Linked DNA regions of Lepisosteus oculatus. The protein of the gene in region 3 interacts with the protein of the main gene of each other region in a pairwise test. Links are inferred from orthologs where the notes say so. Each region holds a gene or a part of one and is shown on either strand. Other genes may lie near its edges. The genes, in order: cep290, atp6v1d, bbln and thap11.

Region 1 (7,973 bases), on a different chromosome or scaffold from region 3:
TTGGGTAATTTCAGATTCTCTTTTAAAGCACTCAGCTGTAAAATTAGGCTACCCCACAACTAATTAGGCACTTGCTGTTAACATAAACCTTATAATTTCTAAAGGGTTTATGATACTTTAAAAAAAATAAGATTTAACCGGTCTGAACAGACTTAGGCATGAAGGAAAGGGTTAAGAGCATATTGTGGGCAGAGAAATTGCCAACAGAAGTTGTCAGATAAGATTTGCGGAGCTGAAATTGTGCTGGACTTAAAAATAATGTTCAAGGACTAGTGGGGAGTGGATATCTGGAGTTGTAAATAAGCAGTCTTTGTCCTGTGATATCTTTGCTGAATGCCTTATTGCACAAATATGTTAACTACTCCAGTGGAGTGGTATCACTCCTCAGGAAATGCTTTTGTGTACCTGCTTGACTATATAAATGGGAAAGCCCCAGCTTGAACTTTGAATTGACTACTGCTCCTGTGGCTGGTCAATTCCAGTATGCATACATAATCAACCCACTGCGCCTTTCTCACAAATGATCCTAACTGAGTGTGGATTTTCTAGAGGCATAGTCTAAAAAATGTATTTTTACTCAAATATGCATTGTCGTATATAATATGAAATTCTGAGATATGCTTCTTGAACATGTTAAGAGTTTATGTACTGTTTTTGCACATCTAAAATCACTCAAACTCTTAGCGTTATCTCCTAAAAACCAACTTAAATAAATGGTGGCTGCATGCAATGTACAAAAAGCAAGCTTATGCATTTGCATGTGCAAAGCAATGAGCTTACAATAAGAGAAACAGGCTTTACAGTTTCAGTCATGCAACGAAAGTGTCATGGCTCAGTGATGACTGATTGTATGCATCAACACCTTTGGGTTCAGCACAAGACATCACAAAAGACACATGAGCTCAACTCTTAATTTCTCTCATTTTAATTTAGTGCCAAAAGAATGTAGCTTAAAACCCTTCAAGACTTTATATGGCAAAATTGGACATCAAAGAAATCTCTTTGTTTCCTGACTCCCAGAAAACATGTGGCTAGGTACCAAAACCCCAAGCTTGTTCAATATCTGATTTGGATTAGAGAAAAAAAAGATTTTGCAAGATGCACTAAACAGAAATTAATTCAAACCCATTCACATGCAAAAAGAAAATACTAGGCTGAGACACCTTTAATCAAAGTACTAACCTAAAACAGTTTTGTTTACGAAATAACCATTACGGAGCCAGAATTAATCAATTGTGGACATCTTCATCAGTTTTTTAATGAGTTCATTTCAATTTTTTCTTGGTTTTGGACTGCTTTGATCGTTTTAGAATTGTTTTATCTGGGTAAGTCATTCCAGTACTTAAGACTACAGTATATGAAATGCCTCTCTGTAGTATAGGTAGTAAAGCTGTTTACAAGCATTTGTCTATTTTTACCTTCTGTGATATTTTACTGGTCCCTAAGATATAGAACAAACATCTTAACCTCATGTTTACCTGGAGTTACAACCACGGTAAGATAACACATATTGATACAATCAAAGTGGTTTGTACTTTATTCTTCTATTCCTACTGAAACACACAAATTGAATGTTTTTCTTTGAAAAACTGACAGATAAGCTTACATGATAGGGGTTTCAGTAAATGCACTGCATATGTAACAAGGTCTTTAACTGCAGCCCCCAAACACATGCAATAAACTAAAACCTCAACGAGCCAATATATGAGTATGCAAATCTGCAATATAGCATTTTTATGGTTAGGATAAAATAATGTTATCTTAATGTCACAAATCACACCCATATAACCAAGCATACACTCTACTTCAATTTAAACTCTCTTTAAGTAATCTTAAGACCTTCCATGTTTTAGTATATAAATAATGAATCTGCTAAAAGCTGACATGCACATTGACATGGACCCGCATTAAAAGAAGAGCAAACTGTAACTGAATTAAGTACACAAATTAAGTACAGTGATATATTTTTACAGCAAAGAAAGGGACTATTCCATGAAAAATGTGATATGATGAAAAAACTGTTTTCTGTTGACTGAAAATACTGTACATGTATAGTAGTTGGGTTGTTTTATGGGTTGGTTTTCATCATCAAAACAAAAGGCATGCTAATGGAAACTCAAATGGAGACATGGCTAAATTCTGCAGCATCATTACAATCTACATTTAACTTGGACACGCAGGTACCCCAGCTTGTAATTTGCGTTAGCCTGCAGTGTGAAATAACCAGATTGCCAGAACGCACATGTAGGAAGCTTTGTGCTCTTCATTTAATCCCTTCTGAGCGTTGCTTTCATGAGGACAATTCACAATTTGAAGAGTGCGGGTAGGGGGGACAGGTTAAAAAACATTTTAAAAAATGCATTTTAGAATTTAAATTAACATAGCCTAACATATCCTTTTTAGGAATGAAAAGTGAGAGTCTGTTGGTTTGCACATTAAACAAAAAGGTCATAATGTGCCCTTGAAGCTTTGATTATCAAAATAATAACTACAATTTTGAACCAAAACAAAATGCATGTTAATGAATTAAAGAAGTATATTGAATCAATACGTCTTACAACTTTCAAAAATCTGCAAAAGTCAGAGGAATTGAATTTCACTAATCTAAATCTCCAACCCAAATGTACTACAACAGTATTGAAAGAAAGTTTTCAAATACTGTTTTAATATACGTTTTGAAAGCTCAATTGGAAAAGACACTCTTAAATTTAATCTATTCTGTAAGGAAATTAATTTCAGTTTAAATGAAACATAAACCAAACATTTTTGAAGTGCAGAGTGCATATAATGTTTGTAGGTTCAGTTTTATACACTAAGATGTCTCAGAAACCACTATTTTAAGATTTCCATATTTACTTCCACCAAACCAGGGTTTTGGATTTTAGGTTTTGGAGCTTGGTAAAAATCTGAGAAGCACGATCAAAGCAAAACTTACTATAATGGTAAATATGTGAGGGCAAAATTCTTGGAGAACTTATAAGTGACCTACCTCTGACATAGGAGTTCCCCAAAAGTCATTGAGAAAAAGATTTTGGAGTGGAGTTGTGGGCCGCAGGTCCTTGTTATCCAGAATAGCGGAGACATCGTCAAAGACAAATCCGCAGAACAGGCTGTTCCAGTAACAGGCCACAACTACTCCGGCCAACAGTGCAATTTCCTTCCAAGTCATTGCAGCCATCATCTACCAAAAAGTTCATTGGTTACTGCAAAACAACCAATACAACCCAACAGATAAGATTTCAATTCACAACATTCTCTTTCCAATAAAACAAATAATGCATTGACATTATAATAGAATAAAAAAAAGTTAACTGATAGCCACTGGCAGAGATTAAATGCTTTGGAGGGTGTGAACTAGGCCATGGGAGTCTGTGAAGAAAAAACTAAATTGTCAGCACATGGTAGCATGTTATGTCTGCCAACGCCAATTGTATTCTGCTCCTTTCCATACCACCCATAAAACCTGTAGGCTCCAAGAGAGTCTGGCTAACACAAATCCGACACTAAAAGTATTTTTAAATGTTCTCAATGTTTTTGTTTTTCTAACAAAGAGAATATTGTACAGTATCAGCCTAAAAGCTACAGTAGTCCATCAAAGTCTCTCTAAACGAAAACATTAAAACATGTCCAGAATATCCTAGTTTGCGTAATCAATTAATCAGGAACCCTCGTATTTTAACAAAAGGTCGCTGAGTATTCATTATAAGTATTAAATAACTGAGAAAAATCTAAATGACCACATTTTCTGAAATATAGGTTTTGAAATTTTAAAAGTATATAAATATTTATTTTTAAGAAGTCACTAATCTATCAAGGGACCGCGTATTGAATGCCTTGCATTGATTTATTCAATATGTATTCGCAGCGGATGCTTAACAATCGCAAAATTAAAAAAAAAATACTACACAAACTTATATAATTAAACCATTTCTACCTACGAATGACAACCGCCGCTGTATTAGATTATATTTCGTAGTAGGCAAAATGTGTTATATGAGGCCGACGGACTTCTCTAACGTGAATAAAAGCTGTACTTACTGAAGAAATTCTAGGGAAAAACACTAAGCTTTTTTTTCTATTTCTCAAACACTTCAAAAACTCTACGACTACAGCGGCATTCATCACATCCTTACCGCTTTGTCATGCTCGACGCTAAACTATAACGAAACACACTATTTTATTTAACTGTACATAGCATTCCTGTTCAATATGTTACTACAGGTAACATATTTCTTCCTTCATTTCCGGGGCGGAAACGGGGGATTCTTAAAGGAGCGGCCTGAAATTAAAAACGAGGAATGTTTATATTAGAAAGCTTTCTTTAATTTCCTGTATTTCAGTCATTACTTGCTTTTCGACTTGTTAACAGACAGTAAAATAATGCAGTTATAATGCAGGGAAAAATCTTTTATCAGTAAATGTAGTATGAAATTAACGCAATTGTTTTAAGATTTTGAATAATTGTTTTAACTCCCCACAGGAAATTATATCAAATTAATGCAAATAATAAAAGAAATGCTTCCACTGATGTCCCTTACGTTATAACATTAAATATACATACATATAATTCGCGTTGAATTACATTGCAATGCTCCTTATACTGGGTTTCGCATGAGAATCCATGAGAGTCCCAGACCAACCGTCTCCCAAACCATGATTGGCTCATCCTGACGTCACCTGAGCAACGATTGGAAGAATTTGAGTCTACACGTATTTCCCCTCCATAAGCGTCTGGTTCAAAGATATTTCCCTTTTATTTATTTTTTTTCATTTGTGTAAGTTCACCCTGTCGTTTCGTACCCTAAGTAAGATTAGAAATAAAGACAACGTTGTCTGAGAATTTTTCAAGACTCTCCTTCTCTGTTATTTTTCTTTTTCCTCTCTAAGAACTTCAAATCGCTGCTCTGGGGGGACGGTCAGGAATTAATTTAAACTTTACTGCAATTTTTGCGTCTCCCTGCCGTAAAGCGGTGCTGGATTTTCGACTGTTTGAAGTGGTAGCCTAGCAGCAACAGAAAGCATCGCAGCACAACATATTCTGGGAGACATAGTATGAGGTTTAAACTTTAAATTAAAGATGTTTGATTTTGTATTCATGAAAAAGAAGCGAGTGTACTGTATCTTAACACCTGTCGTTAGTAAAGTCGGAAGGCTTGAGTAATAAATTATATTGTTTTTACCTTGCATTGCTTTTGAAAATCATGCAGGTTTTGATAACAATAGTCGTGCTACGGTTTCGTGGTTGCATATGGGAAATTTCTCTTAGTAAAATGATTAATAAATCACAAATTCTAATATGCTTTCCTGTTTTCTGACCCTTTTCAACTTTATGTCTACCACCCACAATACCTTTTAATCTTTATGGGGTTGCTTCTGACTTGGAATGGGTTATGATGATCAGCTTGTTTATTGAGTACATAACGGGAACTAGATACAGTAGATACATCCCTGCTATTGAACCCCTTGAGCAGTGGACTTTTTAGTCTTTTATGTTTAAGTGCATTCTGTTCCTCCTGTTAGGTACTGTTCGTTACTGTTATAAACCGGACTGCTTTTTTATTAAGCGATACATAATTTACAGTACCTATAGTGAAGGCTGCATGACAGGAGTTCATAAAATCATGATGCACAGTATTGGATGTTGCATGGATTAATTATTGTGTGCTGAGAAGATTATAAAAACGATCATTCATATAACCCTCCAAATAGGTTTCCATGTACCTTTTTTTTTTCCTGCAACGTGCAACCACAAATGTCCATTTCATAATAAAACTAGCATTCCTGCTCTTTTGAGATATCTACATACCTTTAGGGGATTCGTTTTTACAAACCTTTAAGCGGTTACTTTTGCTACTGTTGTTTTGATATAGCTTAAAATACAAACATGTTTTCCTAGATTGGAACCACACAGCTTTTAAGATGCCTTTAAAAATTGACTGGGGTGAACTGATGGATGTCGATCCAGATGCCTTAACAGATCAGGAGAGCCTGGCCCAAAAACTTTTGGATTTCATTTCACAGGTATTGTTCTTCTTGTTATATATATATACTCGTGAATTTTGTCACTTTCAAGAGACATTTATTGACTGAAAATAGTACAGGAAGCCACTAACACCACTTTTAAGTTTATCTATACAAGACAATTTAAATTTGAATCTAATTATAGTACTGTATTTAATTTCTAATATTCTAAAATTGCCATCATTAATAAAAGTGTAATATATATACAGTACTGATCATCAAAAGAAATGTATAGATTTATATGCATCTGTGTAAATAAAATATACACCGTTAATGTTAAAATATACAATGTTATTTGCATCTTTTTGATTATTTTTTATTCACATTTGTAATATACTCAAGTGACTTTGACTGTTACATGAGCACTAAATCATCTCAGTTGTAAAAAATATTAAAATAGAAACTGACGGGGCACAGATGATAAGGTAATTTAAATCTGGTGAAATACCAGAAAGGAATAACTTTGCTTGTTTACCAAGACCACAGTGTCTTTGCGCCTCTGGTATATTGTAGGTTGGACTAGGTCACCTTAAGAGGACTGTCCAGCTGTGTAGCCAAGTCCTCTTTAGAAAGATTCAAGGTTACTTTGGACCACCCTGATGGTTGTCAATGAGTGTGGTGCAGATTTGTGAAACGGGTCTATATTTTTTGTGTACAACAGACAAATCAGTGTGGATGTGTTGATATAATGGTCAGGGTAGGAGTTTCAAGTCACTACAGAACTCAAATTGTAGAGGTAGATGGCAGCCTGACCCCACAGCATTACATTAACATCCTGACAGAACAACATTCCAGCAGGATAATGCGTGTCCTTAGGCTGCTCGTGTATGATCTGAATTCTTGCAAAGTCATTGTTGGATGTTTGTACCAAGGCTACCATACTTAACGGACTTAAGCCCTATTCAATATCTGTCTGTTGTGTCAATACAATTAATACAATTTGTTACTGTATATACATTTTGTGTTGCAGTTTCTTATGAAAGGCCCTGCTAAGTGTTTGTAACTTTCATAGTAGAAAACTAGTTGATCGACTCTGTTGATGAAAAAATGTGAAAGAGAATAATAGATTTACCTTTGGCTTGTCAGTTCAATAAAAGGTCTGCATAAAAAGATAATCTTCTTGTGACCTCTGTAAACGTGTTGCAGTTATCAGGGTTAGCTTATTATGATTTCATTTTTAATCACTTAAATGCAAACAGTGAGGAAAAAACAGACTTTATTAATTGCTTGTACATTGAAATTGTTAAATCAGACTATTAGAAACCATTTGTTTCTTTTTTGTGGATTTTATTTTCTTTCCATTAATGTCTAGTCTTTCCATACCCACCACTGGATGTTGGTGTCCCGAAGATTCCCTTGCATGTCCTTTTTTTCCCATTTTCTTTTTCCAGCTTACTTCAGCAAAGCTTTTGACCTATTTTTCCCAGTCATTTCTCTGTCTCTTGGGAACTTTGCCCATTTAATCCCTCACTGCTCTATTCTTCTTGCAGTTCGAATGACTTATTACTATGTTAATGTTTTCACTTTTTAAATAGTGTTCATTGCTCACTGATACATCTATTTCTGTCTTCTCTTGTTTTACCAGTCACAAGTATTTGTGCTGTTTTGGAATTCATAGTTTCTGATTTTTGCTTTTAATAACTGATGGCTTGAAGGCTTTTCCCCTGTGACTAATGGCAACATTTTCTTTCAGTATTGTACTTTTCCTTTTGTAATATACTCCATCTCATCTTGTCTCAGCTTTTCATTTTCCCCTTAAGGTATTTATGTGTGTTGATTTGACGATGATAGACATAGCTGTTGACTTTTAAAGTTCTGTTTAATCAACTTCAATCTTTTTTTCAGCCTCCACACTACTGATTACTATAACTTTAATCATGCCTATGTTAAGTCTGGCTTGTATCTGAAGGTTCCAAAATTTGAAGATGTTGTTGTTTCATGGATGCTGGTGA
Region 2 (7,770 bases), on a different chromosome or scaffold from region 3:
AGGATCATACCCTCGATATTGTTGTACTCCAGCAGGCTGACATAGGCACCCATCTCTGCGATGGAGCGTACGTTCACCATTACCACATCCTCCACTTCCGGGAACTTGTGCTGGTAAAATCTACAGCTGAGCCCCGGCATGCTGGCAACAGAAAAGGCACATCCCATGGCATGACACACACACAGGAAAGGCAGGGAAAGACAGCTCTAGTGCATAGACTTTCAAACTAGATAACTTGTACCTTTATACACTGATGTAGGTCAGCACAAAATCGCAAGCCTTTGCTCAACAGCATACGTATTTCAGCCATACAGTGAAAAGCATAATTACTGGGACAGTGAAGTGAAATTTGTCATATATGCGAATGATTTTAAATTACTAATGAAATATGAATTTCAGATCAAAAGATTAATATAAGGTAAAGTACAGAATTCCAGTCTTTGTTTCTGGGAACACTTTTGCACACAATACTAAAAAAATGTCAGTTGTTGTGTTTAAATCCCCCATTTCAGATGAGCACAAATATTAGAACAAATGTTTCTAATTGCTCAAGTGAAGACACAAAAATTGTGAATGTATAGCCTTGGTTCTAGTCTTTGGGTGTTTACTTTTTCAGTCTGCCCCTTGAGTTAGAAACATTAATCAAGATGATGACTAGACAGTTGTCTATGATGAAAAACCAAGTAAGAAAATGAAAGCAAAGAAAATTCCAATTAGAGCCACTGCAGAGAAACTGGGCATCACAAAATCAATTATAGAATGTGCTGAAAAGGAAGAAAGTACTAGAGGTGTAAGCATTTGGCAAATACCAGGTACTTCAAGGAAGATGACAACAATTGATACAAAAATCATTAGAGCTGTAAAGAAAACCCCTACAATAACAGCCAAAGAGATTACAGACAATCTCCAGAGTGCAGAGGTGAAAGTATTTCAATTCATTGTGTTGTGACAGGAGAATTACAAGAGATAAACTGCAAGATTCAAAACTCTTAAGCCTTTTTTAGTCTTATCAGCACTAAGAACAAAAAGGCCAGGTTATAATCTGCAAAGAAGTACAAAGATGAGCCACAACAGCTCTGGAAAAAAAGTTTCATGGATAGATGAGATGAACATAAACCTCTATCAAAGTGATGGAAAGACAAAAGAGGGGAAAAGGAGAGGAACTGCACATGATCCTAAGCACACCACCTCATCAGTAAAACATACTGGAGTTAGTGTCATGGCTTTTGCATACAAGGCTACCTCCAGATCTAGCTGACTGGTCTTTCTTAAGGATATAACTAATGGTAACAGCAGAATGAATTCTGAAGTGTGTGGAAATATCTTGTCTATGTCCAAAAAATGCTCTAAAACTCAGTGGATGGCAATTCAACCTGCAACAAGACAATGGCCCAAAATATACTGCACACTTAGCCAAGGCAGTAGGGTTCATCAGGAAGAAGAAGTGGAAACTTCTGAGCTGGCAAAGCATCTCAAAGGAAAATATCAAGTCTGGTGATGTTGTTGGGTTGCAGACTTGAAGCAGTTATCACTTGTAAGGGGTAATTAACTCAAAGTTAATTTGTCTCAATACTTTTGCTGACAAAACAAATCAGGAGGGACTGACCATAAAACCATTTTTTTTAAACATGTATGCACAAAAATATCCCAATATAAAAGCTTGCATTCTGTTTAAGCTGCCTTATGTTCATCTTTAAATCTGAAATACAATTTGGAAAAGTATGCAGCAAAAGCGACACATTTTACTTCACTCTATATTTGTTATACCACAAACCTGTGAAGGATTGAACTGAGTGTTCTAAAAAGAACTGTAATTCTATGGGACTGGCTTTGTAATGAAAAACAGTGTTAAATATTATCAAATTTAAATAAGGAAATTTAATAAATTAATTAAAATCAATTTTCTTTAGATTATAGTAGTCAGTTTCTAAAGCACTGAATCATGTGTATACTACATGAACCCTGTTGCTATAGTATACTGTAAGAAAAGAAAAATAAAGCTATTAGTAGTTTTGGATGAAATCTTAGTGAAGTAGTCCAAGTCTTATTGTTCCAGAAACTATTCAGAAACAATACATCTGAAGGATTTCAATTGCTATATACGCAGACCTTATAGAAGCATTCAAAAGTGCTTTGGTTGCTCTAATTGTACATTGTGATGTTTCACATTAAAGCAGCAGGGACATCAAATAGAATTCAATTTGAAACAAAAGATCACTTACAACCAATACCAGAAACGTGTGATAATGTCTTTACGAATAGCTAAATAGCTGCAGGGGAGATGAAAACTCAGCCAAACAAAAAGTACAAATACTCTAACCACAAAATGAAATCTATCTTGAAAGATAACCACAAAATGAGATCTAATATCTAGAAAGATAAATAAAATACAGTTGCAGATACTGTGAAGATCTTGACTCCTAACTAACCATCTTGTAGCGTGATCTCATGAGATTTCAGAAGCTGATCAAGAGTTGGCCCTGATCAGTAATAGGATAGGAGACCTCCCAAACAAAACAGGTTGTGTTGGTGGATTAGAATTTGAAAACTGATGCCTCAGTATGGTGACCAAGACCACTCTGCTGTATAAGATGTATCCCTTAGATTAGATATTACACTTAGGTGTAAACTACTTGGTCATTAAAATCCCATGGCACCGGCTCTGGTGGCTTGGCTAAATTCACTTCTGGGCCTGTGCAATTCAGCCTACCTAAAGTTATCACTTAATTAATTTGATGACACAATTTCTGTTCTGTTATGGGGCTGCTGGCACATAATAGCAACCTAACATCACACAGCCAAACTCACCATGTAATATTTTCTTTTTCTGATGTGTTTTATAACTTTACTAATTTTAACACGATTTATAACTGTTTTTGCGTATCAGCCAGCTCCCAGAAAGAGTAAGACGACTATCTCGCATGAGAAGTGGTATAGGGCAGGTTTTCATGTGGTAAATACATGTGGTAATACAAGAATGGTCTGAAGAGCAAATGATTTGGGCACAAGAGCGTGCCATATAAATATATAAGAGGGGGTATTGAATAAAGCCACCACTAGTCTAGGATGACCTTTTTAATAATGGGCATTACTGCTTCAATCGCATGTCCCGAAAGACTATCGTGAAAAATTAAGGAGACTTGGGATAATCACTTCACCAGAACACGACCGACTGTGCATATTCCTGCCTTTTTCGTAAACTGAAATTTTCAGTCAATGGTGAAAGAATCGGTCAATTTCAGTTCCTGTCATTTTAATTTCCCAATACACTGAGACCACTTTACAATATCGTATATATACAGTTGAATTTTGAAGGCATGTGGCGACTTCTGCAACTCTTCTCAGAAGAATGGTATCGTTACGCACTTCTGTTAGTTTTTTATATGACTTCTTGAGTAAATCTGGCACATAAACTGCATCTTTGTAACATTTTGAGGCACTTTTCCCAAAGCAAATTACTACAACGCTCTAACGAAGACAGGTTGTGTGACCAGACCGCTGAGATTCGTAACAACATTAGATGGTGAATGACTGTCCCGAATAAACCTCTGGCCAAAAAGCTAGTTTATTATCAGCCACATCTGTATCAGTTTCTACAGTAACATCACATGTAGCAAGACTACTCTCCCCCTCCACCCAATTCATTCATTTTCTGAACCAAGGGATTAAAAAGCGACACTACCTTTATTCTTGATAGAGATCCAAACTCCGTAATGTTGAATAATTCACCTACGTTTGAGTATTTCTCCTCTCGACAAAGTTACGCAGAAAAAAATGTATTTTCTAGTTAAACGCTGAGAACGGCCTAAACCTTAAGCGCAGTTAGTTTCCTCAGCATGGACGCACAAACACGTAAACCCTGACCCGGAAAAGGAAACTATGAAAAGGGAATCGGCTTCGCAAGTTTTGTGACGGTGACACCTAGTGGAGGTGAAAGTTGCTGTTCTTATGCACGAGAATAAGAAAAGTACATCTGTTACCAAAACCTAAAATACAACAAAACTGTCTCGATGATGTAGACACATTTGTTATATAGAATATATATATATATATTTGTTTTTCTCCGTTTCAATTCTCAGGAAAATTTGTTTTTCTTTTGTCAGTGGTTGAAAGAATACACTGATGCAGACGATTACTCACACATTTATGATCGATAGAAAAAGCATATTTTTGAATTATACGAGCAAATAATTGAAATTAGCATCCAATAGTATGAAAGACCACTGGAGCTTTTCTACGTTTGAGAACTGTAGCTAACGAGCGAAAAACACAGAGCTTGAAAACCGCTCATAAACCCTCATAAAACGATTTTTTAAAATCTAAGGAATTTAGAAATTTCGTTTTTATGTTTCATTAAAAGCTTCAAGCATGGCAAAATTAATAATACAATTTTTGCGGCATTATTCGAGAAATTATTTAATTAATAAAACAAGACAAGTACTTAAAATAAATAATACTATTCAAAAGGTTTTTTTTTTATTTATGCATAAGAGATTAACAAAAATTACAATACAAACAAAAGTACATATAACAGTTCAAGACAAAAAGATCGTCAGGGGTAGATACTACTACATAAATTCAAGTTATGTAAAAAGATTAAACAAATTAAATAAAAATAATGTTTTCATATATATTTTTTTACTTTCATATTTTTGCTACTATTCAAAAGGTACAACTTCTGTCCTTCGGTTCTTACTGACATGTCGTTGGTTCTGACGTACCCAGTTTTACCTTTGACCTTCGCCACCTCTGTCACATGACGTTTACCCAGCTGATTCGCCTCTGACTGACACTGTTGACCAGGGAGATTTCCAGTTTGCTTTTTCCCGAAAGCTATTGAATAGGGAAATCATTATAAGGAAGGACGTCTTAATAAAGAACAGTTTTCCTAGGATAAATTCTATTGCAATAAAAGTATACTGAACCTAGGCAAATCAAAGACGCGTCGCTTGCATCCAACAACATGTCAGGCAAGGACAGGATCGAAATTTTCCCATCCAGAATGTGAGTATAATTATTCTTGCAACATCCAGTTCGTTTCTGCAACGCATAACGAATAATATAACAGCACAACGACAGAAGCATTCCAGACGTTATATTAAGCTTAATTTGTACATTTGTCAAATCAATTTGTTCCGAAAGTTGGAACAAATTGTTCCTGACAGGACGCAACTGCCTTTTTTGAATCGAGTGTGTAAAAAGCTTTACTTATATATTTTTAAGTTTTGTTTTTAAAGATAGATGATTATGGTGTGATATGTCCTCAATGACATATTTAATATTCTTTGAAGTTTTTAGTAATGTTACATTAATTTGACATATATTTAAAAATACATATTTACAAAAATGTGAAGCGAGTGTATAGGTAGTATATCTGTGTGTAGGGTAACGTGACTCAAAAAGTTGTTCTAAATGAGGAAGGATTATTGTGCGACAGGCCCTAGATCATGTGAGAAAGAACAGCTAATTTTTTCAACAGAGCTCTGCTCTCTCTGTGTGATGTCTGGAATTTATCTCAGTCAATACAAAACTAATATTTTCCCAGCTCAGGATGGTTTTAGAACAAGCACTGTAACGTCTGCATGTGTGTGATATTTTAAAGGTTTTTTTTTTGTCTTAGTGGTTGATGAATGTTTTTTTCCACAGAAACACACATATCATTTGCGTCGTTAGAAAAGTTTAACTCTTTATAGTGCAGGCCTTTTATTTGCTACCAAGGCAGCAGAATCTTTACTTTCTGTAGATAATTTAGCAATGCTGGGCAGTCTGGATGAAAGCATTCCAGTAATACAGTTACAGAGACGCTTTGTGTCTAGTAGTCTTAATAAAAACATAAGAGAGGGATGCTGATGAGAAGAAACCTAACAAGAAAACCTTATTTATACCTATTAGGATCTTCTAAAATTGAATAATTCTCCTCTCATTTTCCTTTGTCCTAGACTGAAAAGATTTAACCTTGAGCCTTTGAAAAATTATTGTTTCTCCATTGAACTATTTTTACATTTGTATAGATGTACAATATCATTGTTTGGTATTGTGGCCAGAACTGAACATAGTATTATAAAGTGAGTTTTTACTTGTACATTGTAAAGCATAAGCATAACTTCCCTGGAGTTAAGTTAAACACTTCTATATACTGAAGCATTCGGTTTCTTTTTATTTGATTCACCATATTGTCTTGATGAGGACATTAAAACAGAAAACAGGATGCTATGGATTCAATATGGTGAGGCCTAGTCAATTTTTTGGTTTTGAGCAATCTTAACCCCTGTTGAACCTCAGTTTCAGACATGTTAAAATTACCCTAAAACTAATGTTTTGTTTAGCAGTGGATGTGTTATTGAAATCTTTAACTGTAAAAGCTTGCATGAAATATTCATTTAGCATGGTTACTATTTCATTATCATCTTCTATTAATCCACTGTTATTTCTTAAGCTATTATAAATTATTCTTTCACTGCTGCAGTACAGGAAAAAATGCTCTACTATAATTATTTGTGTCTAGTGAAGTACAGTATTCTTTTAAGTCTACTTCTAAGCAATAGTAATACAATTTTTCAGATGTGGCTCAGTATGCTCTTTTTCCATTTTAATTTTGGTATTTTACACTGTAGAGCTCTCTCTAGAGTGCTCCTTTTTTCTTAATATCTTCTTTAAACAACTTAGGCCACATTTACATAGACATGGACTTTTTTAAGCACCAATTTGATTTTGGCCTTTAGTGTTAATAATAATAATAATAATAATAATAATAATAATTGCTTACACTTATATAGCGCTTTTCTGGACACTCCACTCAAAGTGCTTTACAGGTAATGGGGACTCCCCTCCACCACCACCAATGTGCAGCATCCACCTCGATGATGCCACGGCAGCCATAGTGCGCCAGAACGCTCACCACACATCAGGTATCAGTGGGGAGGAGAGCAGAGTAATGTAGCCAATTCATAGATGGGGATTATTAGGAGGCCATGATTGGTAAAGGCCAATGGGAAAATTTGGCCAGGATGCCGGGGTTACACCCCTACTCTTTTCGAGAAACGCCCTGGGATTTTTAATGACCACAGAGAGTCAGGACCTCGGTTTTACATCTCATCCGAAGGACGGATGATGTGTTGTGTCCTGTGTGGTGTTGAGCTAGGCCATGGTTGAAATATGCTCTATTTTACTTTGTTTTTCAGTTACTTACTAGGTAATGTGAACTAGAATACCCTAGAAAAAATACTGCTGTACTTTGACAAAAGGCCATTGCGAATCTCAATGCAACAGGCAGAATCCACATTTCCTGAACATTACTGTCCAGACTGCAGCACCACATTGTGTCCTAAGCCAAAGAGTCATGGGGACTCTACCTCTACATGAGTAATCTAACCATGGTCATTTTTGACAGTGCTGTATGTTTCCAGAATAAGTGAGTGACAGGTCTTTGTTGTTATAGTCACCCTAAAAAAATCACCCTAAGGTACCCATATACAGTGGATATAAAAAGTCTACGCACCCTTATTGAAATTACAGGTTTTTGTGGTGTAAAGCCAGAAATCAAGATAAATCATGTCAGAGAATTTTCCATATTTAATGTGACCTTGAAACCAACAAAATTCAAGAGAAAAACAAATAGATAATTATTAGGAAAAATAATTGAAATTAAAAAAACCTACAACACCCTGGTTCCATGAGTGTGCACACCATTTTATAGTGGGTGCTGTAGCTGTTCAGAGTTAACCAATCACATTCAAAATCATGTCCAAAGGTAAGTAGCATACACATGCC
Region 3 (7,240 bases):
CGCGTGCGCGCGGGAGACCAGCCAAACTCAGACTGGGCATCGTCGCCGAACGGTGGCCTGGGCCTGCGTCCATAGCGCTTGGAACCCTGCGTGCTGCCCCAGGTGCGAGGCTTGGTGTTCATCTGGGAATAAAAAGGACAATCTCTTGAGTACGATTACGACAGAAAGAGGTGCTCCTCAGCAGGACAAAGACGTCCTAATTTAAGCCTGCCAGCCTAGTGGACATACTTTCTTTCAATAGATGCCTGCAGAAAGACTAAAACTGAGCTCATTCACTTTATAGCAGCTTAATGGGTACACACTGGGTGGGATGCCAAAAACAAAAATATCTTATTAAATCCCAATTTAAAAGCAATGCATTGGGTAGGATTTATTGGACTTTGTACCTACAATTCTTACAATGGTTTTGAATGGATAAATCTGTCAAATTTTAAAACACAACAAACTATGTATAATGGCTCATGCAGATGTGGTCTGGGGAATAGAATTATGGATCCCACTGCAAGGACACACGCCAGATCACATGTATGTCATGAGGCACGGTATCGAACGTTTCTCAATTTAAGGGAAGCAGTCACAGTCTTCTCAGAAATGCCCCTTTGAATCTGCCACTTTTGATCTGCCTTCTCACCTGTACAAACACAGCTGTGCTCATCTGCAGAGTCTCCATTCGCTCGCTAAGTCGGGCCAGCCAATCCAGATGGTCAGCGATGGACATCTTCAGGTCGATGTTGTTTTGCTGGAATTGAACAAATAACAAGTAACACCACCAGTTTCATAATGAAGTTTAATCACTGGCAAACTTCTTACTATGGAAAAGAGATAATAGACATTCGGATACCTAGGGATCAATGCTAGGAGTATCCAGTGTCCACAATTCCTGCAGTCTTTACATGCAGTTCCAGTTATGTCACTGGGATCCAATCTGATTCCCTGGTATGTATTCCAGAGAACCCAGTTATATAGCTGATCCCTTAACTGACATAGTTATGTCATTACTCAGGCCTTTTCAGTCAATTACAGGTCCTAAACTTACAGTGTTCTGTTGTTTCTTTGAAACCTCCTGGGTTTTGAGGAACTGGAAAAGGGTCCACTTGGGGAGATCAATTGGCTCAATTAAAGACTCGATTCAAAGAGACCAGCTGCTATGAAAACTAGAACTGTGGGTCACCACCCGCATTCCACCCAAGATGTCCTTGGCTAAAACCAATGAGAGATCATGGACCTCCGCATACTAAAAAGGATGTTTTCTTTCATTAACTGCAGAGAGCTGTTTTTTTTTACCCAGAAGCCACCTTCTCCTGCTGAGCAGGAAAAGCTTGGCCCCCCCAGAGACTGAAAAAGTTCCAAAAAGAAAGACCCCAATATGCTTTAGTGCATTGTTGACTCGTAACCCCACAGTCTAGTGATCCCAAGGTTGGAGACTGAGGAAGGAGTCAGGTGCTGTCCAGGAACCAGCAGGGGGAGTTCAGACCTGGTCCCAGAGGGCAAGTTGTCAAGGTGACCTTTAGAGGCACAGCACCTAACTGGGAGAAGATGTTCAATTGGTCCAATGAGGCCAGCCATTCAGCGGTTTAGCTCATTAAGACCCATGCTGGAATTAAAACCTGCAGGACCTGGGCCACCCATCCCTACTGTTACGTGTTCTGATCTTGAATGTGTGTGGGAGTTTGCAGGTCCACTTATTTAAATACTCTCCCAGAAACATCCACTTTTTCAGGGCGCTGGCTGCCTTTACCCTCTAGTCTGGAAGGTTTAGACCAAGGTTAGGTCAAGAATTAGGGCTAGGAAAAAATTAGGGTTGAGGCTGACCGCAGGTGATGAAGGCGTTTGGGTTCAAACCCCGGAGCGGACAAGTGTCGTACCGCCGCCATGTTTTCCTTCAGCTCGGTGGCGGAGAGCCGCAGGTGCTCCAGCCGGTCCACCTGCTCCCGGAGGCGACCCTCCAGAGCCTCCATGAGCTCCGGGCTTTCCGCCGCCTTCGGCCCTTCTCTCGCAGACATCGCCGCCTCGCCTGGCGGGGACGGACGCGCCGCGGGCTCCGGCCTGCGCAAAAAACCAAGAGGCGCATCGCCGCGTCAGTTGCAACTGCCTCTCCCCTCAAGAGTGAAAATATACGACTACGGCGTGAGCGTCCACGTCAGACCCTGCGGCATGCACAAGCCATAATCGCCGCCAGAGCCGGTGTTGGGGGTGGGGATGAAAGTTGCTCGGTGTTCTGCAGCTGAGGTCGATATTTCCTCGGTGCTGAGGCTGCCCGATTTTGTGGCATGTCAGAAAGCCGCACTACACGGGCTGATTGTGTAGGAAATGTACCTGAACCCAGAGCAACTTCATTGGGGGCCCCGATTTTTTTTTAACTTTTCAAAATATATACAGTTTCACGTCGTCTCAATTAGTAGTAGCCGATTCGATACCAATTAGAAACTCTACCGTTATCCCCCCCCAAAAAAACAGGTGTCGGACCATTTTATTTTATTTACAATCACATGCAAGCTTCTTTACAGTTATTAGCTACAGTAAATTGCCTCATAGCCGCTCAACATTTACCTGGCGCTTAAGTTCGTGTCAGGCTAAAAAGAAAAACAAGTCACTACTATGCCATTATCATTATATCGGCAGCGATCAGGTGATCCTCTATGAATCTCAATAGAGAAAAAGAAAGGCAAATATATAATGGAATTTAATAGGAACCTAAACGAAGTACAGGACATACCGAGCCCGTCTGTGTAAACAACATTTGTACAGTCATCTTACTCGACATTAGGAACAATTAGCATGGAGTTAAAACTTTTGGTAGTCTCCAGCCGAGAAACCCTATCGAGGTAGGGGGAAGGATAGCTTTGAAGGAGATCAAATTGATAACTTGCATGACAAACTGGCGCTTTTGTAGTCCAGTATTTAGCGGAACAGCAGAAAACAATTCACTTACACTTCTAAGGAGACTGTAAAAAAAAAAAAACAACAACCCCGGGACCGTGCGGGTTTCCTAAAGCTTCAGCGGGCACCACAATGCTTCTGTCGAGAAGTCCGTCCTATTTACGGCTCTCCGATTTCCCAGTTTTGAAACAGCCGTGGAGTATGACTTTCGGACAGGGGACGTCTTCAGCGCACGGCTGGGAAGCTGGTCTGTCGCCGTTGTAGGAGCACTGGAGAGACCTTTTGTCTCGAAAGAATCCCAGGAATCTCACCTCGGCTGACGTCAGCCCCCTCCGCCGAGGGGAAGAGTGGAAAACGGCGATTTCAGAGCCCAGAGGCACCGGCTTTCCTAAAGCCTGAGCGCTCACACCGTGTCCGTCTCCACTATTGTGGCTGTGAAAGACGCACACCCCCAACACACACACACACACTTTCCCAAGAGCCGTAAACTGGGGTGCCTCGCTGGACAAGACGTTAGGCATTGTAGATAAGACACCGCTCTGCTGTAGGCTGCTGGCACGAAAAATATATATTTTTTTCATTTACATTGTGTTGCATCAGGGAGGCCTTGTTGTTTTTGTAAGTTAACTGCGTTTTTTTTTTAAAGGCAGCAGCAAGTTCTTTGCAGTATGTATAATTTTCAGTATTTGCATTGTGCGTACTCAGTTGTGTGTCCACGACAGCATTATGTAACCTAAATCCTTCATGCAGTAGCTATTCCATGACAGTGTAGCACGGACATTTGTCTGCTCATTTGAACACGATGGGCTCAGTTTGTATTGTACTGGAAGACCTCAGTGAAAGACCTGTTTTTTTTTTTTATCGTGGCGCAGTCTTATTACGAGAACAACGGCGCGTTAATATCCAACTTTATTTTACAACCCTGCTTTTGGATAAAGTATCGTCTACAATAGAAAAGAAAAAATACACAAGCTATTGTTAAAGCTATTGACATCGTGAGGTCCATACAAAACTAAAGTGTCTTATAATGAGACTTTTGTGTATGCATGTGGGATTTTTTTGTATACACGTACAGTAAATTCATAATATTCAATTCGTAATATTCATAAAATCTTAATCCTGTTCATCGGGTTTTTAAGTTGTCTGATATGTACCTAGAAAAAAATAGATTTGTGCAACGTAATATGCTACACATACACTGCACAAAAATGAATGTGCAGTAGATTTGTCCACAAAATGTACTGCTTAATAATCACTGTTTTTACGGCTTTCGTCATACATAATCTCAAAAGCACTTTTTAAATATCTTGCTGGCAAACTTCTGGAAAATGCATGGCGAAACAACACAGACTAAATAGCAGAATGAGCGAGTTTTTCATGAAGGAACCTTTTGTTAAAACTGGATAATACCCAGATATGGGTATCGCTGTAAGAAGTCTGTTTTTCTTGCAAGACTGAACTACTATCCGAACATACAACAACACCCGCAGGGTCTTTGACTGAAGGACCCCGTGTGAAGTAGCTCACAAGATGCCTTTAACAAATGTTTTTAAAAAATGGCGGTGAAGATTTTTGTTACATACAATTATTTCAGTAAATGCACTTAAATATTTTTTTTTCCTTTTTATTCATTATATTTAAAAGAATTGTGCACTACAAAACTTAACTCATGTACGATTAAGGCGTTATCGTTGGACACCCTAGTGTCCTTACTCGTGAACATCAGCTGAGCCGATCATTCGTTCTGCTTTTTAAAATAACCGGGTTATGATAAATGGCGATATTCTGAGTTTGGGTTTCTAGCTGTATGGCAGTACTTTTCACTTGTTTATAGACCTAGCGCTGTGTCTGAAGGCATTGATTGCATTCTGTAGCTGTCCTATATATGTACGCTGCACTCTAATCTGACCTGTTCAGTGAAGGGTATTGTGATCTAAATTAGGCTCGCCAAAACAAGCTGTCCTGTTCGAGGTGGTAAACCCGTTTTTGTGATCCACAAAGATCATGTCCGGACCAAATGGAGATCCAAGTGTTTCCATCGAAGTGGGCGAAGACGACGAGTTCAGCGAGGAAGGTAAATGCACTTTGTGATTTTTAAAAGACAAATTTGAAAAATATAACCGCAAGTTATCACTGTTGATTTACGCTGGGCAACAACTGTCCGGTAGCTTAAAATTCTTCTCATCGATACGCTTCTGTTGCTGTGTCATGTTATTTAAATAATCATATTGAATAGTATCTTGTTTCTTAAGCTTGCCGGCGGAATTGTCGTTGACGAGGGTTAGCGTGAGATTGATGTTGAATCAGGGACTCTGTCCGGACAGTTACTAGGCATCAACAGGATCAGGGTTAGGGAGCAGCCCCGGGTGTATCCCAGCAGTGCAGAACTGTGCTTCTGTCGCCATCTCTTCCAGAGTACGCGGCCATTAACTCCATGCTGGACCAGATCAACTCCTGCCTGGATGACCTGGAGGAGCGCAACGACGTGCTCAATGCCAAGCTGAAGGACCTGCTGGAGTCCAACCGGCAGGCCAGGCAGGAGTTCCGCGAGCAGGTGGCGCCCCCCCCGGGGGAGCCCGCTGATGGGGACCGCGTGGAGCAGTGAGGGGCGACCAGGAGGAAAGCGTCTGGGGGGCGTTGGGGTGGGCCAAGGAGGATGGTGGGGAAAATATGTTCAGGACTCTATCGGGAAGCACTTTATCCTGAGGTCACTTGCCAGTTTGTAGTCTACGTCATTTGCCAGCTTGGAGATCAGGCGGCAGGGCAGTGCAGCGAGCATCGAGGAATGAGGAATGAGGAAACGCAGAACCGGTGGTGATGTAATCAGGAGATGAAATGGATTAGCTGTCAGGTGTACGCTTCTTGGACCCTCGCCGATTCCTTCCTTCTTATTTCAGTGACGTTCTGACTGTGGTTTGTTTGTGAACAGCCGCTGAGGCCCCGCGTCCGGCAGAGGAATCCGACTCTGTTGGGCCCCTGAGCAAGGCCCTTAACCCCAATACACTGCTCCAGGGGCGCCGTACAATGGCTGACCCTGCGCTCTGACCCCAAGCTTCTCTCCCTGTCTGTGTGTCTCATGGAGAGCAAGCTGGGGTCTGTGAAAAGATAAATTCCTAATACAAGAAATTGCATATGGCCAATAAAGTGATCTGATCCTATCGTGTGGAAGTCTGCAAATGAGGAGCTCTGTGTTCTGTGTTCTGTCGGGCGTGTAGATGGCTGCTCCTGCACACCGTCATCTTGTGGCGTAACTATTTTGTCGAGACCAATTTAGTTCCTGCTAATTCCGAGCTGAGCATTCTGAGCCAAATTCTCATTTTCTGTTTTGAGCCTTTCCTGTCTGCTAAAGGTTTTGAATCTATGCGTCTGCCGTGTTGCATCTCAATAAATTATTAGCTTGCAACTTTCACATTTGTTCGACTTATCCATTTATTGTATTAATGAAATGTATTTCAGAGCAGCGGATTAATGATTAATTTATTTTGGGACCCTGCATTGTTACCTGTTACTGTTTCCTGGTAGTTTGAGTGTGTAAATAAAACATAACGTGCAGTTGAACTATAATATTGGAGTGTATAGCAATTAAACCAATATATATTTTGGGTCATCAATACTCGAGACTTTTTTATAATTCAAGTGGAGTGCAGAATTTGCTTCACTTTCATTAATCCTGCAATTTCCCACACAGGATCAATGAAGTATCTATTACCTGCTGAAATTACTTGCATTCTGTAGTAACCACGGATTGTAAATATTCAGGACGAAGGTACAAAAGACGTTTGATGCATGTTGCTGTGTTTGACTTTAAAGGACATATGAAAGATTTGCCAATAAAGATTTTAAAATCCCATCGGCAGCAGTGGTATTCTCTTCGGCCAAAACTATTGGTGTGATAATATCGCTTCCATCCGTTTTCTAACTGCTTCATCCTCTTCGGAGCTGCAATCTATCCCAGCAAGCAGGTGGCACGGTACACCCTGGAGAGGACGCCAGTCCATCGCAGAACAGACAGACACAAACACACACTCACACCATGGCCAGTGTTCACAGAAGCCTACCAGAATGTCTTTGGACTGTGAGACCAAACTAGAGCACCTGGAAGAAACCCACATCGACCTGGGGGGAACATACAAACTCCACACAGACAGCACCCCAGGTCTGGAATTGAACCCAGGACCCCAGCACTGCAAGGCATCAATGTCAACCACTGCACCACCCTAAAAAGCAAACACCCTGTGTTTATAATGAATTGCAAAGGAAAGCATGTGAAGAACTCAACAGGGTTTCCTTAAGATCTTACTCTCAGCCCTCAACTGACACATGCACACACTGCATAGTGTTTTGCATTTTGGGAGCTTGG
Region 4 (7,453 bases), on a different chromosome or scaffold from region 3:
TCCCACAGCGCAAGAGATCAAGCCCAATTCACATGTAATATTGCAAAGCTTTGATATGAAACTACAAATATTACAACTGCCCTGCAAAACACATAGTTTATTTTATCAGAAAATATACTGAAAACACCGCCACTGGAGAATTTGCCATAAACGGAGGTTTAACTGGTATTCAGTGTGCAGCTTATTTCTTCTCTTTGGAAGCAGGTGGGTAGCTCTGGTGTGGGTGACGGGATGTACCAGTTTGAATGATCTTCCTGAGCAAAACTCTGGGTGTTATATCACCCAGAGAGTCATGGCCTGGCAGCATCACAGGGCTGAGCTCATGGGTGTGCACAGCCGGCGGTCTCTTTCTGTGGGACTGGGTAGATCCTTTAGTAACATTCTGGAAAAACAGAAAGGAATTAATTTGACAACAACTAGTGTAAAACACTGTGGATGGGATTTTGAGGTTGCAATGATTAAGCTATCACTTCGGCTACTAATATCTGAATATTCACACCTGTAATAAATTAGTCAATTTAAATTGTATTACTTCAAATAAATAGGTTAGACACCTATGAAGTCTACTACAGCTACTCAATTATTTGCCTGACACTGTTATCCAAAGTGACTTACATAAGCACCATTAATACAGCTGGCTATGTTACTGGAACGATTTGGGTGAATATGTGCTTGGCTGAGGAGCCAGTGTGTGAAGAAACCATCCATGGGAATTATGACAGAACCCCTCTAAAGCAGAATCCCCCCAACAGCAGCGTCTCACGTGGGATTTAAACCCACAACCTTCCTGCTTAGAGCCCAGAATCTTGACCACTACACCACACTGATGGCCTAGTGATGGCCTCAAGTCATGCTGGACTCCAAAACAGGGAGGTTTGGGTGTGTATCCCTAATACAAGACTACTGCGGCACCCCTGAGCAAGGTACAGTGCTCTGATTGCCCTGCCGAGTAGGATCGCTCTCCTCTTCCTGTAAACACCTCCTCTTCTGAGAACACTGTAAATGCCTCATCTGGTTAAATCAAGGACCAGGACCGGTGTGAACACAATTTTGATTCACTATGAAACACCCGCTGGACAGCAAACCTTCTCGTTCTGAACAGTGCTGCACAGTTTTAACCGTCACCTCGTGGAGGCTTCTCCTGAGCTTGTTTCGCAGAGCCAAGCGTGGGGTGGAGCCACCAGCGTCGCTCTTCCGCAGTCTGGCACTCCTCCTGGTCCCGAAGGACAGGGGATCGGCACTGAAAACAGGATAGAAAAGACAACCCTTTAAAAAGCGCTTGACCACTCTGGGCGTTTGACTGGAGAAGGACACTGCAGGGCCCTGGGGAAGCATTCCCCTGCACTGCTGGGCTTCCCCTGGGTGGATTATGGCCACCCCGGTGTCCTGGCCAAATTTCCAATAGGCCCTTATCAATCATGGCCTCCTAATAATCCCCCTCTATGAATTGGCTACATTACTCTGCTCTCCTCCCCACTGATAGCTGATGTGTGGTGAGCGTTCTGGCGCACTATGGCTGCTGTCGCATCATCAAGGTGGGGCTGCACATTGGTGGTGGTGGAGGGGAGTCCCCATTACCTGTAAAGCGCTTTGAGTGGAGTTTCCAGAAAAGAGCTATATAAGTGTAAGCAATTATTATTATTATTATTATTATTATTATTATCTCATGCAATAAATGCTGAGGCTCAATTAATGAGGGAGACATCGCTGCAGGTTTAAAACACTACTTTCCTGTCTTGGGAACCGTACAGAGGCAACAGTGGTGCAGTGGTTAGTGTTTCTGCCTCACAGCACTGGGGCCCTGGGTTCAGTTCCTGGGGTGCTGTCTGTGTGTAGTTTGCATGCTCCTGTTTCCTCCCACAGTCCAGAGACAGACTGGTAGGTTAATTGGCTTCTGGGAAAACCGGACCTAGCGCGAGTGTGCCTGATTTGGTGTCTGTGCGTGCCCTGCAACGGACGGGCGTCCTCTCCAGGCTGTACCCCGCCTTGTGCCCGCTGCTGGCCAGGATCGGCTCCAGCTCCCCTGTGACCCTGAACTGGTAGGAGAGGTTAGGAAATGGATGGATGGAACAGCACAGAGGACAGATCCTCAAGTCACAGCAAACCGGTACCACTGGCCACCTCATCTAAAGAGTACTGAGCTGGGAACTTTGTTTAAAAAAAAATAAAACTGACCTGACATCATATGCTCATGGTGGCGGCGCTGAATCTGTATTTCACGTTTACCAGCGGCCAGATCACCCTGCAACTCACAACTGGTAACCCACTGAAGGTCAGCAGGTGTGAGCCTGGTCAATACCTGGATAAGCGTCCTGGCCAAATTTCTCCCTGGCCTTAATCACAGCCTCCCAATAATCCCCATCTCTGAGCTGGCTTCATCACTCTGCTCTCCTCCCCATTGATAGCTGATGTGTGGTGAGCAAATTGGTGCACTGTGGCTGCCATCACATCACCCAGGTGGGGCTGCACACTGGTGGTGGTGGAGGGGTCCCCATTACCTGTAAAGTGCTTTGAGTGGAGTGTCCAGAAAAGCGCTATAGAAGCGTAAGCAATTATTATTATTATTACCTGCTTGTGGCCTGGGAGAGGACAGGAGACCGGGTGGGCTCTGTGCGCAGGACCTTCTTCAGCAGCGTCCGAGTGGTGAGGTCAGCCTCCGGGGTATCCATGGCGAGCCTGCCTGAGGGAAGCAAAAACGCACAGATACCTTCAGAAACAACACCAGACGGACAGCAAGGAAGAAAAACTCGAGCAGACAAAAGCAAGCAAGTCGCTTAGTGGGAAAAAAAGCAAGAACGTGTTGTACTACAACGATAATACAAAATATTACACACTGTAAGTTAACAATAACCTTCTATTCGTTTTTTTTATTGGCATCTAAAGCAATATGGCACAATAATAGAGCTATACAACGTCCGGTACGTTTAAATATTCATACATTTCTTCATGCACAAAGCCGGAAGATTTGTAAGTAGATATTCATGATTTCTTATAAAAAACTATTTAATGGATGACATAAAACTAATCGTTTGAAATGAGCACAGGATACTGTATTCAAAATACTGTAAAATACTCACCTTATTTTTAAATACTGCGCAGCTCCCGATTTAAAAACAGCAGATTTTACGGTGCGCGTCAACCATTTGATATATCTTTACATTCGTTACAATTTGAAATATATTACGCCTATTATATATGTGCATTAATTCGTTCGTCAGCTAAAAGTTTATTTTGAATTCTGTTGCAGCTCGCATTTGTACTCCCGCCGGTTTATTCAAATCTACCCCCGCGATAGCTCGCCAGCGGAAGTTAGCCATCGCCCCACGCTCGATGAAAAGCATGGTGGGAATTGTAGTTTTGGGCAGCAATGCCGAGATAGATTCTGCATGATGTATCATCATGATGTATCATGCCTATCAGCAATTCCTCATAAACATTCAGGAATGTTTTTCATTTTACAGTTCAAACCAGAATTAATAAAAAATGTAAACTATATATCCATTGGTCTTTGTCATTTCATGATATTCTGGGGGACTAACGATTTTTAGGTTCAAAATTCAGTCCGTGAAGTTGAATTGTTTCTGTTTTCCTTCTTTTAACTTATTAGGGGATCCGTGTAAACAGTTTAAAAAAACTTCATTCTAGTGTATGACAAGAGTAGTGTAATAAAAATGTTCTGTGCTTAATTAGACCATTTACAGCGACAGTTAAACTGCACCAGCTGGAATTCTTACTATGATACAAATCTAGGAACAGATTTCACGTTCCCCTCGTAGGAGAGAAGGCTGTCTTTAGCATTTTAATAACCATAAAAGCTCGTCTTTTTTATCAAACCGCATAATATTGTTACCTGATCAATTGTTATAAATGCTTATTAGCTCCATAAACAAGTATTTTTCAGTGAGAAAGTTTCGGCGAAACAGAATGTTCCACCACCTCGCTTTTTAACAACGCAGTTAAAAGTGTTCGATTTCATTGATTTATCTCAAAATACTTCAGTATTTTCAATGGTGTTTCCACGATCCTGGCTGCTGACTTTCAACATCGAGAAAACCTGATTTCATCCTGAGACTTTTACTGCAACAGGCGGCCTGTCAAGCGTGATTAGGTTAATTCGGTTGGATACCCCTGCCTGTAATTTCACTTCAATATAATGACAGCTTGACAACTTTATAGCTCTTCGTCCATTTTTAAACAATTTTTTTTACATCTTTAATTGCTTTGTCCTTTCAACCTGTCAAGTGCATTTTGAAGGGAATAAACGAGAGAGCGCACGCGTTTTCTCGAGAGCTTCGCATTAGTTTATGTTATCATTACTTAAAACAGAGCTTCTTTTAACGAACGGTGAATTTATGTTTTTTCAATAACGACGAAAAAAACCCCAAAAAGCGTCCGCCCCCACTCCAAAAAAAAAAAAACCACTTCTTTCAATCGCCAAGTGCTCTCGGCAGCAAAACAGGAAGTAGTTAGCATTGTGGGATCTGTAGTTCCGCTCTGGAGCTGCTGGGCTCGATAACAGCGCGCGGAGGAGCAAAACAAAACTAAAATCCGAGAAAAAACTTTGGGAGGATTACACAAATATTGGCTAGGCTTCCAAATAAGCATGCCTGGATTCACCTGCTGCGTCCCCGGCTGCTACAACAACTCGCACCGGGATCGGGAGCTGAGATTCTACACCTTCCCCAAGGATCCCGTGCAGAGAGAGATTTGGCTGAAGAACATCTCCCGGGCCGGGGTGAGCGGCTGCTTCAGCACCTTCCAGCCCACCACCGGCCACCGGGTGTGCAGCATCCACTTCCCCGGCGGCAGGAAGACCTACAGCATTCGGGTGCCGACCCTGTTCCCGCTGCGGGGCGTCAACGAGAGGAAGACCCGGAGAGGCAGGAACAAGAAGGTGTCCGCCGCCGCGTACCCCGCTGTCGTCGCCGCGGTCGCTGCCAACGTCGATGCGACCTCCGCGTCCTGCGCCCTGGGCGCCTTCGCCTCCGAGGAAGTCAGCAGCTGCAGCGCCGAGAGCGCCGGCGAGGCGGGGCGGCGGGAGCCGCTGTCGCTGGAGGTGAAGCCCATTGACCTGACCGTGCAAGCCGACGGGTCGTGCGTCGCCGTGGTCGCGGCCAGCTCCTTAGCCCAGACGGGCTGCGACCACCCGCTGCCTGCCGCCGCTCCAGCCGCCCACCAGCTGTCCAAGGGAGAGCTCGCCACCCTCGGGGCGACCGACCACTCGTACTCGCTGTCGTCCGGCACCACGTCCGCGGAGCTGCTGAAGAAACTGAACGAGCAGAGGGACATCATAGCGCTGATGGAGGTCAAAATGAAGGAGATGAAGTCCACGATCCGACAGCTGAAAATCACCGAGGCGAAACTCCGGGAAGAAGTGAGAGACAGGGACAGGATGCTCTCCATGGCGGTGATACGAAAGAAACACGGCATGTAAAACGCCTGCATCGAGACTGAAGGAGAGAAAGAAACCAAAACGACGAACACGCGTTGAAATAACAAACGGAACACAAACTTTTATGGGAAAACAAAAAAACATACCTTCTTTTATAAGGGATCCCCCAAAAATGAAAAAAAAAAAAAGTTGAGTGAACCTTTTTGTACAAAAAAATTTTCATAGCTGAAAAATACTTTACATTTTTTTTCTTTTTAAAAAAGTTCTTTGCTAATGTTAAATAGGTGTAACGCGTTTGAAGGACAGTAGTAAGCATGAGCGCAGCAGATCACCTGACTCCATCGAAACAGCCGATCGCTTCGTTTACACGCTTCTAGGTTAGACGCTTTATCTCATCGTAATCCGGAGAAACAAGAGGCTCTTTAATAAGACGCGAACTGAAAAGCTTACGAGTTTTCTCAAGGCAGATAAGCGAACTGGGAGACACGCAGAGAGATTCGGGGGTGCGGTAAAGCACGCATAATCACACAGGAGGGAGCCGTGCTTGCGCCGAAATATCGACTCGTTCTGTGTTTTTTTTTGTCTGTTAACATTTTGCTGTCTTTCACAAGACGTGGAGCATTAATTAAATGATGTGCCTAGCGTGTAGCCGAGTCCAGTCGTTCTTAGACCACGGATTGGCCTAATAGTTTGAGTGGTGATGGGTGGTACTCATGTCGAGAGGCTAGTTGTGTAGCCATCATATACATTTCAAAGTTTTATTCCTTTCTCAAGAAGTGGTTTAGTAGCCTTCGCAATTGCACTAATGCGTGACTGATAAGATGTGGTCTAAATGCGGCTTTTGGTGAGAATGTTTTCACTTTTTATACAAAGGTAAATTAATCCCCCCCGTGTCTTTCAAACGGCACGATTTTAATGTCCCCCAAAAAACGTTGTATACGCATGGGTGGTGAAGATCCACAATCCAGCAAGTGTTTGAGGTCATCCTTTAATCACCAATGTGTAAATACTAGACGTGAGTTGTTCTGATCAATGTAGTCAATCCATCAGTTCATTTAAATCAGGACTGGACAGCCTTGATCCTTGAGAGTTACAAGATATTTTTAATTTCAAATGACCTGTGACCTACTTCATCTGACAGACCCCCCGCTTAAATGGTCAGAACAAAATTGTTCCAAACATTTAGGAACCACAGGTTGAAGGGTGACCCATAAACCCTGTTGCACTGTGGCTCTGCAGAACCAGGGGCCCGGCTACCCCTGATAAAATAACTGCTAACAAAAAGTAAGCTCGGTTCATTTTTGAATGCGTAAAGTTTAGTTTCATTACAAGGACTGATTGTTCTCCCATTTACAGTAGGTATATGTAATAACAAAGTCAAGTACCACTGCTAAAATCCTGAACTGCTCTCTTGTCTTGAGTGCTAATAGTTCTGTTGCTCAGTTACAAACCTCATCCAACTGTTTTTAAGAGTAGGAGCTATAGTCTGTGATCTTATTTTCCTGTAGTTTGGTAATCACAGTTTGTGGGGGGGAAACCCTTGTGTGTTGAACCATTGTAGGACTTTGGTAGTGAAAGGAGCAGGTGGGCAATAATAAAATCTGTAAGGTTTAGCTGTCATCTACAAGAAAGATGAGTTTGGTCAACAAAAGTGTCTATTTTACACTTCCTCAAAATGTTACGCACTGTGTACTTTGGTAACGCTGCCCTCCTGAGTGTGTGTGCGTTGTAGAGATTTGTGTTAAAAAAACAGTCGTGATCTGTGATAGGCTTCCAGAATTAGAAGCGTCTTTGCATTGTTGCAAATCGAACTGAGCTACAATTCGCAAGCCGAATCCGGGCAGGAGTTCGGATGAATCTGTACTGTTCGAAGACACTGTTTGTGGAGGGGATGGGGTAGGAGGTGCAGATTGGAAAGAATCCCTTCCCGGTTTGGATAGGGATAACCGAAAGTACTGGAAACGGCATTTGGGGTGTGTACCTATATTGTCACCCCTGCAGCAGAGCAAGCGTTGCTTTTTGAAAACGTGCTCTTGACGTGATAACACCAGGGACGGGTTT

The links.
Region 1: the proteins of bbln (region 3) and cep290 interact in binary tests that used the Homo sapiens proteins (3 or more experiments, as listed by UniProt). The two-hybrid records come from large-scale screens. The link is inferred for Lepisosteus oculatus from reciprocal best matches to the Homo sapiens genes BBLN and CEP290.
Region 2: the proteins of bbln (region 3) and atp6v1d interact in binary tests that used the Homo sapiens proteins (3 or more experiments, as listed by UniProt). The two-hybrid records come from large-scale screens. The link is inferred for Lepisosteus oculatus from reciprocal best matches to the Homo sapiens genes BBLN and ATP6V1D.
Region 4: the proteins of bbln (region 3) and thap11 interact in a two-hybrid assay, tested with the Homo sapiens proteins (2 studies listed by BioGRID and IntAct). The link is inferred for Lepisosteus oculatus from reciprocal best matches to the Homo sapiens genes BBLN and THAP11.

The regions. Positions count from the first base shown.
Region 1 is NC_090702.1:17,386,121-17,394,093, forward strand, and holds the start of cep290 (centrosomal protein of 290 kDa), read left to right. Parts: upstream 1-4,973; 5' UTR 4,974-5,050; exon of another isoform or gene 5,051-5,057; intron 5,058-5,896; 5' UTR 5,897-5,919; coding exon 5,920-6,021; intron 6,022-7,973. Other genes in the region: protein O-mannosyl-transferase TMTC3, read right to left, coding at 2,990-3,181, 4,562-4,666. UniProt on the Homo sapiens protein: Involved in early and late steps in cilia formation. Its association with CCP110 is required for inhibition of primary cilia formation by CCP110.
Region 2 is NC_090703.1:26,162,407-26,170,176, reverse strand, and holds the start of atp6v1d (V-type proton ATPase subunit D), read left to right. Parts: upstream 1-4,753; 5' UTR 4,754-4,963; coding exon 4,964-5,004; intron 5,005-7,770. Other genes in the region: eukaryotic translation initiation factor 2 subunit 1, read right to left, coding at 1-140. UniProt on the Homo sapiens protein: Subunit of the V1 complex of vacuolar(H+)-ATPase (V-ATPase), a multisubunit enzyme composed of a peripheral complex (V1) that hydrolyzes ATP and a membrane integral complex (V0) that translocates protons.
Region 3 is NC_090719.1:12,772,832-12,780,071, forward strand, and holds bbln (bublin coiled-coil protein), read left to right. Parts: upstream 1-4,561; 5' UTR 4,562-4,884; coding exon 4,885-4,954; intron 4,955-5,294; coding exon 5,295-5,485; 3' UTR 5,486-6,730; downstream 6,731-7,240. UniProt on the Homo sapiens protein: Essential for intermediate filament organization in intestinal cells, interacts with intermediate filament and regulates intestinal lumen morphology.
Region 4 is NC_090715.1:3,956,041-3,963,493, forward strand, and holds the start of thap11 (THAP domain-containing protein 11), read left to right. Parts: upstream 1-4,482; 5' UTR 4,483-4,603; coding exon 4,604-5,434; 3' UTR 5,435-7,453. Other genes in the region: uncharacterized protein cenpt, read right to left, coding at 238-382, 1,126-1,240, 2,569-2,669. UniProt on the Homo sapiens protein: Transcription factor, which has both transcriptional activation and repression activities. Also modulates chromatin accessibility.